Caenorhabditis elegans: one gene and its partner. The protein of the gene in region 1 purifies or fractionates together with the protein of each later gene. This does not show direct contact. Each region holds a gene or a part of one and is shown on either strand. Other genes may lie near its edges. The genes, in order: mys-1 and trr-1.

Evidence for each region.
Region 2: the proteins of mys-1 (region 1) and trr-1 purify together in Caenorhabditis elegans (affinity purification with western blotting, with the first as the bait; one study listed by BioGRID). This does not show direct contact.

The regions. Positions count from the first base shown.
Region 1 is NC_003283.11:7,080,844-7,086,710, reverse strand, and holds mys-1 (Histone acetyltransferase Tip60 homolog), read left to right. Parts: upstream 1-2,048; 5' UTR 2,049-2,057; coding exon 2,058-2,196; intron 2,197-2,241; coding exon 2,242-2,419; intron 2,420-2,482; coding exon 2,483-2,828; intron 2,829-3,342; coding exon 3,343-4,038; intron 4,039-4,935; coding exon 4,936-4,953; 3' UTR 4,954-5,166; downstream 5,167-5,867. Other genes in the region: VC5.2 (Laminin EGF-like domain-containing protein), read right to left, coding at 257-679; npa-1 (Polyprotein allergen nematode domain-containing protein), read right to left, coding at 5,257-5,349, 5,745-5,867. UniProt on the Caenorhabditis elegans protein: Probable catalytic subunit of the Tip60 chromatin-remodeling complex. Plays a role in acetylation of nucleosomal histone H4 and perhaps also H2A, probably acting as a component of the Tip60 histone acetyltransferase complex.
Region 2 is NC_003280.10:11,672,847-11,677,956, reverse strand, and holds the start of trr-1 (Transcription-associated protein 1), read left to right. Parts: upstream 1-2,029; 5' UTR 2,030-2,100; coding exon 2,101-2,238; intron 2,239-2,285; coding exon 2,286-3,071; intron 3,072-3,125; coding exon 3,126-3,424; intron 3,425-3,469; coding exon 3,470-3,593; intron 3,594-3,637; coding exon 3,638-4,756; intron 4,757-4,801; coding exon 4,802-5,110. Other genes in the region: C47D12.2 (Dymeclin), read right to left, coding at 1-8, 59-546, 609-850, 898-985, 1,044-1,252, 1,309-1,455, 1,505-1,647.

The DNA of each region.
Region 1 (5,867 bases):
GATATAAAATTAATAAAAATATAATTTAAAAAAAAATAGTGTCAAAGACTGTGAAGACTGTCCAAAAAATGTATAGCTTTTTCATCGGATCATTTCTGGAATTAGCACATTTTATTTATAGTAAATTAATTACAATTCAATTACACAATTTTTGAAATTTTTTCATCCATTTCCCATAAAAAATATTATAAAACAACATAAGTTGTTATATAGAATTTTAATCGTTAAAATTAAAATTGAAACTTCAATAACTCACCCCTTTTTCCACGATATCCGGCCGTTTTGTTTTCTCCAAAAGCATATGCAACTGATAAATTTGCTCGTTATCAAGAAGGTCTCCAAGATCATTCTTTGTAGTTAAACTTTCAGATTTCACGAAATCATTAAATTGTTCAATATCATAAGAGCAAGAGTCAAGGCAGTCAATACTTTCCGGGTATATATCTGCAGCTAATTGTGTAGATGCTTCTCGAAATTCATCAAACTTTGAGTTCATTAAAAAATGATCTAACGTATTTGAAACTTTTTTATCTAGTTTTGATCTCCATAATGTGCACTGATCAAGACGATTTACCAAATTGAAGCGGAATGTAACAATATCCTTTTCAGATAAAGGTGAATGAATAAATTCAAATTGTGGGATTATTATAGTAACAATTAGTATAAAATATAGTGACATGATAGAGTATGGGTCAAACCGTCTTCTCTAATTGAAAATGGAAAATAGTAGAAGTAAACGGAGACGGCGGTAAACCTGAAACGACGATCAATTACTTTCTGTGATCGAAAGAGAAAAGAAATGACGAAAAAGATATATAGATTACAAAGAAGGTCGTATTCTTTCACGAGTGTTATGATAATCATAATGATCGGAAAATGGGAAGAAGAAGAAGGAAGAATAATAAGAAAAAGAGGAAAAATAAACGAGGAAGAGGCTCTCTTATCAATCTTGTTCGAACAGGTGTTTTGATGTGACGCGTTCAATCAGTTCAATGATTTTCAACTCTTCGTCTCTTCATCTCATCCTGTCACTTGTCGCTTTTTGATATTTGATTTTTTGTTTTCGGATTTTTTGTGTGCTTCGTAGTTGCTCCGATGATGCCGGATTCAACATTTGAATGTAACATTTGAATTTTGAAATTGAAGGAATTCATTTGAATCTAAAGCTTGCAGGGTCAAGACCGATACATTCTTGCAACACATGACTCGAAAGTATGTAGGAAAAATTGAAGTTGGAAACTTGGAATTTGATGAAAAAGTACAGTAATCCATTCTCTCTTATTTCGCAACTTTCTTCGATTTTTGATTTTTCCTAGATTTTTTAAGCTAAAATTTTGCTGTTTTATTTTCATTTTTCATGCTTTTCAATTTCGGTTTTCAACAAAATTATGTTTTTCAGAGAAAATCTCGTGAACAATAACTCGGCTACTGTACCATTTAAAGGCGCACACCTTTTCGCGCAGCATTGATTTAAATTTTTTTGTTCGTGGCTCAACAGTGCAATGGACATCTAGATATCTGAAATTTTACCACTGAATTCAGTTCATTTTTTAAGCATCTTCAAAAATTTGCGTTTTCCTAATTTTCTTGTGATCGTTTTTTTTTTGAAAGTACAATCGTACATTATAAATAACTATTTTTCAATTCGAATAATTTAATTCAAGATCATTTCGCAAAATAATTGCCTTGAAACGTTATGCCGCGGTCAATTTTCAACCACCCTTGTTATTCTTTTTTGAATTGCCGCCCTTTTTCCCTGTGGCCGGCGCAGTGCGGCCGAGGTTGGTTTCTAGGCCAGCCGGCGCGTTTTATTTTTTTCGAGCATGATTTCACAATTATTTCTTGCATTTTTAAAGTTTTTTATTGATAAAATAGTAAAACTAACAACGGATAATATTATTTTAAAATTAAAAAACTAGTTTGTTCATTTTTGGATCGATTTTTAGATGTTGTTCATGGATTATGCACGCAAGAAAGTACTATCGTTCACATTTGATTGCTATATTATTGAATATTGAATTTTTCACACAAAATTGTACTATTTCCAGATATTTATCATGACCGAGCCGAAGAAGGAGATTATAGAGGACGAAAATCATGGAATATCCAAGAAAATACCAACAGATCCCAGGCAATACGAGAAAGTTACAGAGGGATGCCGGTTATTGGTCATGATGGCTTCACAAGAAGAAGAAAGTTAGTTTTTACATCTATTTAAACACATTTTCCAATTATTTTCAGGATGGGCCGAAGTTATTTCAAGATGCCGAGCTGCAAATGGTTCAATTAAATTCTATGTCCATTATATCGATTGCAACCGAAGACTTGACGAATGGGTTCAGTCTGATAGGCTCAATTTAGCGTCGTGTGAGCTACCAAAAAAAGGAGGAAAGAAAGGAGCACACTTGCGGGAAGAAAAGTGAGAAATCTATAAACTTTTCAAAAGATTTTAAATAGTTTTATCAATTCATAATTATTTCAGTCGAGATTCGAATGAAAATGAAGGAAAGAAAAGCGGCCGAAAACGAAAGATTCCACTACTTCCGATGGATGATCTCAAGGCGGAATCCGTAGATCCATTACAAGCAATTTCAACGATGACCAGCGGATCTACTCCAAGTCTTCGAGGTTCCATGTCGATGGTCGGCCATAGTGAAGATGCAATGACAAGGATCCGAAATGTCGAATGCATTGAACTAGGAAGATCACGAATTCAGCCATGGTACTTTGCACCTTATCCACAACAATTGACAAGTTTGGATTGTATTTATATTTGCGAATTTTGTCTGAAATATCTAAAGTCGAAAACTTGTCTGAAACGGCACATGGTGAGTGTTTCGAGTTATAGAAAATGACCGAATATAAATAACTGTTTTCAAAATTCAAAAATTTTCAATTTTCCAAAAATGAAAGAATCGGTGAATTCGAAAAAATTCGAGTTCTTGTGTGTTTTTGGCTGAATTTTTCGGTTTTTCTTGCTTTTTCCGTTGATATTAGTTTTGAAACAATGTTTTTAAAATTTTCCGGCATCGAAAAAAATCGCAAATTCTGGGAATTTGCTCCAAAAATTGCATTTTTGAAATACTTTTTTGCGAAAACGAAAAAAAAATTCACAAACGGTGTTTCAAACCAAATTTATCGTAATCAAAAAAGTTTCGCAAATAGGCCATTATTCTGCGTGGGAATTCAAATTAAAATCAGCTACTTTTTCTATTTTGCAAAATGGAAAAAAAACGTAAAAAATAGACAAATTTTTAATTTTTTAAACAATTACATTCGGTCCATACTCTTCATTTTCTATCATTTAATTAAAATGCCCAATTCTAATTAATTTTATTTCAGGAAAAATGTGCAATGTGTCACCCACCTGGCAATCAAATCTACAGTCACGATAAACTTTCATTTTTTGAAATCGACGGCCGCAAAAACAAAAGCTATGCTCAGAATCTATGCCTGCTTGCCAAACTTTTTCTGGATCACAAGACTCTTTACTATGACACGGATCCATTTTTGTTCTATGTGCTAACCGAAGAAGACGAGAAGGGTCATCATATAGTTGGATACTTTTCAAAAGAAAAAGAATCAGCTGAAGAATATAATGTTGCGTGTATTCTTGTGTTACCTCCATTTCAAAAGAAAGGATACGGAAGTTTGCTCATCGAATTCAGCTATGAACTCTCGAAAATTGAACAGAAGACAGGATCACCCGAAAAACCACTATCAGATTTGGGACTTCTCTCATATCGATCGTACTGGTCAATGGCCATCATGAAAGAGCTTTTCGCATTCAAAAGACGACATCCAGGCGAAGATATCACAGTTCAGGACATTTCACAAAGTACATCGATTAAACGAGAAGATGTTGTGTCAACGTTACAGCAACTTGATCTATACAAATACTATAAGGGATCATACATAATTGTGATTAGTGATGAAAAGCGTCAAGTTTATGAGAAACGGATTGAGGCTGCGAAAAAGAAGACACGAATTAATCCAGCAGCTCTGCAATGGCGACCCAAAGAGTACGGAAAGAAAAGAGTGAGTTTTTTTCAATCAAAAATTCGTGTTTACGGCTAAAAACTGAAAATTAAAATTAAATTAAATTCGTGATAACATTTTTTTTTCAAAAAACCAAAAAAAAACAATTTCGTTTTTGGCAGAACCAAAAAAAAAATTTAAAAAAAAACGGTTTACGCCCTATTTCATACAAACAACAGAAATTGCACTTTTTTGAGCAAATTTGACCCTACAATTTTTTTCCAGTTTTTTGCTCTTTTTCAAAAAAAAACACCTAAACACTGGAAATACTAAATACTAAGGAAAAAAATGGAAATACTGGTTTACAGTGTCAAAAAATTGAAATTTTCTAATAAAATCATTTTTCTTTTTACTAAATTTATCAAAAATTTATAACTCAAATCTTTCAGTTTTTGCGAATTTTTTTTCGAAAAAACGAAAAAAAATAAACCTAATTTTAACCAAATTGTAATTTTGAAAAATCTGGAACGTCCGGAAAACTGAAAAATTAAAAAAAAAACTTTTCAGAAATTTATTTTTAAAAAACCGTTTTTTTAAATCAAATTTTGTATATGTTGATGAGAAAAAAAAATAGAAATCAATGTTTTTAAGTTTTAAAAGAAAAATTTATTTTAATTATTTTAGTTTTAATAAGGTATTTAAACAGTAACAAGGATGTCGGTTTTTCGATTTTCCGAAAAACTAAAAAATTGTCTTTTTCGATTTTTTAATCGAAAAAAAATAGAAATATTTTCACAAAACATACTATTCTTCTAAAAAAAAGAATAGTGGCAGATTTTAAATAATTTTTGAACTCTCGCAATTTTTTTCGAAATATCCAAAAATCGAAAAACCGGCACAAAAGCAAAAAGTCTCCGGGAATATATCTTTAAATTATTTTATGAACTTTTTTTTCAGGCGCAGATCATGTTCTAGCAACAACGACATGTGTTCTCGCCACGACGATCTCAACCTGTACATTAAAATATAACACTCCGTTTTATCTCGCATCTACACACCGAAAAGCTTACGCTATCCCTTTATCATTCCCACACCGCTCAGAGAGCGTACGCCTCATTTCATTTCATTTGTTCTGTGTAATAATTTGACTTATTAGTCACTTATTTTTTTAATGAAATTATTCTTGAATTTCATAATCTTCTTGTTGCAGTTCAAATAATTAAAATTCATCATATAGACAAGTAAGTTTATAACTGCAAAAGTGAAGTTTTCTAATCATTAAGCGTTCTGAAGATATTCGGCAACCGCCTGAGCGATCAGATCACGGCGGGAACGAGTTGAGGCGTAGACATGCTTGCAGCCAGTGACAACCTGAAAGATATTCAAAAAATTAATTTCAGGACTCGAATTTTTAACAATCTGAATAAAAAAATCCAAAATTGTATATTATAGAGTTTTTTGAAATCTAAGCGAAAGCGCGCTCCAATGTAAAACGAAAAGTGCTCCGCCCCTAAACGTTGGGTCCCGTTAGGAATTTGTTATTTTTTCGGTTATTTCTGACTATATTATAATTTCGAAACGACAAGTATTTTAAACATCATTTCGACATAAAAAATATGTAAAACAACAAAAAACAATCGAAAAAATAGTGAAAAAGTTTGAATTTACAGTCTCGCCGCCTCCTACCGAGACCTAACGTTAGGAGGCGGAGCGTTTTCCTTTGGCATTGAAGCGCGCTTGCTGCGGCCCCATAATTAATAACTTACAGCCTTTGCAAAGTCCTTCTTCTGTTCATCCTCAATCTCGTCAATGTATTGATTGGACAACTTCTCAATCTCGGACTGTTCCGCATTTTCATCCTTCAATTTTTTGTATTGAGCCTTGAATTG
Region 2 (5,110 bases), on another chromosome or scaffold:
TTGATCATCTGCAAATATATACTTCAATATAATCTTAGCATTTCTAGTGAAAACTCACCGTCTCGTGTATAATCTTGCAGAAAATATCATCTTCACTGAGAATCAAGGCGACAATCAATGCAAGATAAACATGGTGAGAGTTGTTCGATGTCGCGACACCGTCGTGAAGAATTCGAAGAACAGGAACAACTAGATTCTCGAGGTTGATCCGAGACAACACATAGTTCCGGAATCCCGAGTTCGCCTGTAGAAGCATGTAGAGTAGAAGCATCGGAGGTTCCTGGCCAGCGGTAGCACACAATCTTTCGTATAATCCATTATAATCGATTTTGAACGACACAATCTGAGTAGGCAATGTGGATACTTCTTGAGCATTTTGGAAGAGAGCAAGGGTTTCTTTGAATGGATTGGATGAATTGAGAGGTTGATGGCATGAAAGATTGAGGAGAAGCAGGATGCTTAAGTTTCCAAGAGTAAGTGGGGGCTTCTTTTCTTCCTCTGCGGAGTCGATACCAGTTGCCATTTGGACCATTGACCACATTGATGCTTAAAAATCGTGTTTTTTTTTTAATTTAATAAAGAATTAAAAAAGATTTTCAGTGACATACAAGCTAATCCAAAAACAATGCTCTCTTGTGGCTTTTGTACAGTCATGTGATACTCTGAATTGTGGATCAAATAATTGAGAAGAAGAGTTTTAGTGAGCGAAGCTGCGTGTTTCGCACATGATCCATCAATAAAGAATCTGAAGACAATTGAAGTATTCACAATTGATTCATTATATAGTTGAGAGCTCAGGAGAGTTAGGAGACATCGAACTGCTTCGACATGGATTGCCAATGTTGTTTCGCTGAAATTATTTTAATTCAATTTTTTAAAAAATAATTTAAAACTCACTTTACAGAAATATTGATTAAAATCGAAACCAGCTCATACGTGAACTCTTCTGCAGTGTTTTGAAAAACTATCGGGATATATTTTGTCGCTGAAAACGTCAGAATTTGATTATTATTGAATTTTTTTTTTAAATGAAGCTTATTTACCTCCATTATTATTTTCGTTTTCTGATTTCTGTTCGTCATCATCTTCCTCATCCGACGAGGAAGATGTAGACGACGATTCGGTTTCCGTACTCTCATGACTTTTGGCGAAAATCCTCACGAATTCTTTTTCCGTCATACGTTGAGTTAAAAATCTGGCGATGTAACGAAGAATGAGAAGAGCGTTTGATGTTTGCCATAAGTAGATTTTACTGAAATAAGAAAAAGCTTTAATTAAATATAATGATGATTTTTTTTTCCAACTCACTTTTCGCATTGTTCTGATGTTTTTAGTTCTGTGGCTCTGCGAAGGAAAAGTCGAATAAATGCAGCGAAATTTCCTGTTGTTTGTGTATTGTACATTAGACATTGAAGATGATCATCTAAAGCAGATTCCAAAGCGATTCGGGTGTCTCTAAACGATTATAACATTTTTAAAGCTTTTGCCTAATTTTAATCCTTACTCGTCGTCATCATCAAACTTGAGACTGAAAGAGAGAAGTTTGTTCCAAAATGGGTCATAATCGTCGACAGGTTCCAAACCGCTGAGTTTCTTCAGATAAATATTCTCCTGTAAGACCGTTTCCTTGGTTATAACTGATCCCATGTGTCTGAAATTTGTTATTACACTGTTAATAATCATAAAAATAAAAGAAAAAGTCAAGAAAGGGTCAAATATTAATCAGGTCACATCTTTTTTATTCAATAAAATCTCCTCTCTCGTTCGTGGCAATGCACGTGAAATGCGCCAACAACCGCGAGTGCGCCAACACACACACATACGCGTCAGCAGACAATTCGCTCTCGTTTGAAATTTAGTTGTTTCTTTGTTTCTGCTGAAATAATGTCAGTTTTCCGATAATTTCAGCGTTTTCTGACTGATTTTTCTTGTTGCATTCACTTCCTAATAGTTCATTCTACTCCATTCTTCATTTTATAATCTGTTTCCTTCGCAATTTAGTGAATTAAACACGTAAATCTTGTTTCAGATAAATTATTCAAATAGTTGCACAAAGCTCAATAGTTTAGAAGTATCTTCAGTGCTGGTCACTAATACAAAATGGATCCGGCTATGGCTTCTCCAGGCTATCGGTCTGTGCAGTCCGATCGGAGTAATCACCTAACAGAGCTGGAAACGAGAATTCAAAATCTTGCCGATAATTCACAAAGAGATGATGTCAAATTGAAAATGTTACAAGTTAGTTTCAATAATTCGTGTTAAGTAATCAATTTGTTCGGTTGCAGGAGATTTGGAGCACAATCGAAAATCATTTCACACTAAGTTCGCACGAGAAAGTCGTGGAGAGGCTCATTCTCTCGTTCCTACAAGTTTTCTGCAACACAAGTCCACAGTTCATTGCTGAAAACAATACACAACAGCTTCGAAAGTTAATGCTTGAAATCATTCTTCGACTTTCGAACGTAGAAGCCATGAAACATCATAGCAAAGAAATTATCAAGCAGATGATGAGGCTAATCACCGTGGAAAATGAGGAGAATGCCAATTTGGCTATCAAAATTGTCACCGATCAAGGGAGAAGTACCGGCAAAATGCAATATTGCGGAGAGGTTTCACAGATAATGGTCTCCTTCAAAACAATGGTCATTGATCTGACGGCGAGTGGTCGAGCTGGTGATATGTTCAACATAAAAGAGCATAAAGCTCCACCGTCAACTAGCTCCGACGAGCAAGTCATCACTGAATATTTGAAGACTTGCTACTATCAACAAACGGTTCTTCTCAACGGAACGGAAGGAAAACCGCCATTAAAATACAATATGATTCCATCAGCTCATCAGTCAACGAAGGTGCTCCTGGAGGTTCCGTATCTCGTGATTTTCTTCTATCAACATTTCAAAACAGCGATCCAAACCGAAGCGCTTGATTTCATGAGGCTTGGTCTTGATTTTCTAAATGTCAGAGTTCCAGACGAGGATAAACTCAAAACAAATCAAATAATAACCGATGATTTTGTCAGTGCACAGTCCCGATTCCTGTCATTCGTCAACATTATGGCTAAGATTCCAGCGGTAAGTTTCGTTTTTTCAAGTTTTTTTTCTGTAATCCTGATTTTTATTTTTCAGTTTATGGATCTTATCATGCAAAATGGACCGCTTCTAGTGTCGGGAACAATGCAGATGCTCGAGCGGTGCCCGGCTGATCTGATAAGTGTCCGACGAGAAGTTCTGATGGCTTTGAAGTATTTCACATCTGGAGAAATGAAGTCGAAATTCTTTCCAATGCTACCTCGACTCATCGCTGAGGAGGTTGTTCTGGGAACAGGATTCACTGCGATTGAGCATTTGCGAGTTTTCATGTATCAAATGCTAGCAGATCTGTTGCATCACATGCGAAATTCTATAGACTATGAAATGATCACACAGTAAGTTTGAATAAGACTTTCTGATGAAAAATGTTGAAATTTCAGCGTGATTTTCGTATTCTGTCGCACTCTTCACGATCCTAACAACTCTTCTCAAGTCCAGATTATGTCTGCTCGGCTGCTCAACTCACTGGCCGAATCTCTGTGCAAAATGGATTCACATGATACCGTAAGACTTATTCTATCAATAATCGTATCTCACTTCGAAATAAGTTTCAGACTCGTGATCTGCTCATTGAAATCCTGGAGTCGCACGTGGCCAAGCTCAAAACTCTTGCAGTCTATCACATGCCTATTCTCTTCCAACAATACGGAACCGAAATAGACTACGAATACAAAAGTTATGAGAGAGACGCCGAGAAACCTGGAATGAATATCCCAAAGGACACTATACGAGGAGTACCGAAACGAAGAATCCGTCGGCTCTCCATTGATTCAGTTGAAGAGCTGGAATTCCTGGCATCAGAACCATCCACGTCGGAAGATGCAGATGAGAGTGGTGGAGATCCGAACAAGCTTCCTCCGCCAACAAAAGAGGGAAAGAAAACGTCTCCCGAAGCGATTTTAACCGCCATGTCAACGATGACACCTCCTCCATTGGCAATTGTTGAAGCTCGAAATCTTGTGAAGTATATAATGCATACGTGTAAATTCGTGACAGGACAATTGAGAATCGCCCGGCCATCACAGGATATGTATCATTGTTCGAAGGAGCGAGATTTATTCGAACGTCTTCTACGATATGGTGTAATGTGTATGGATGTATTCGTGCTTCCAACAACTCGAAATCAACCACAAATGCATTCTTCAATGCGGACAAAAGATGAGAAAGATGCTCTGGAGTCGTTGGCAAACGTTTTTACAACAATCGACCATGCGATATTCCGGGAAATCTTCGAAAAGTATATGGATTTCTTGATTGAAAGAATTTACAATCGGAACTATCCATTGCAATTGATGGTGAACACCTTCTTGGTTCGAAATGAAGTGCCATTCTTCGCATCTACGATGCTTTCATTCTTGATGTCTCGAATGAAATTGCTGGAAGTTAGCAATGACAAGACGATGCTATATGTGAAGCTCTTCAAAATTATCTTCTCCGCCATCGGAGCCAATGGCTCTGGGCTTCATGGAGATAAAATGCTCACTTCATACCTCCCAGAGATTCTCAAACAGTCAACTGTCTTGGCATTAACAGCTCGTGAACCTCTCAACTATTTCCTTTTGCTTCGTGCATTGTTCCGCAGTATTGGTGGTGGCGCTCAGGATATTTTGTATGGAAAGTTCCTGCAGTTACTGCCAAATCTTCTTCAATTCTTGAATAAATTGACGGTGAGTTTCATTTTTTGATATATCGGTAATACACTAAAAATCCAGAATCTTCAGTCATGTCAACATCGGATTCAAATGCGTGAGCTCTTCGTCGAGTTGTGTTTGACTGTGCCAGTTCGACTCAGTTCCCTTCTGCCATACCTACCGCTTCTGATGGATCCACTGGTGTGTGCGATGAATGGGAGTCCGAACATAGTTACACAAGGATTGAGAACATTGGAATTATGTGTGGATAACTTGCAACCTGAATATCTTCTCGAAAATATGCTTCCTGTCCGTGGAGCTTTGATGCAAGGCCTCTGGCGTGTTGTATCGAAAGCTCCAGATACATCATCGATGACAGCAGCGTTCAGG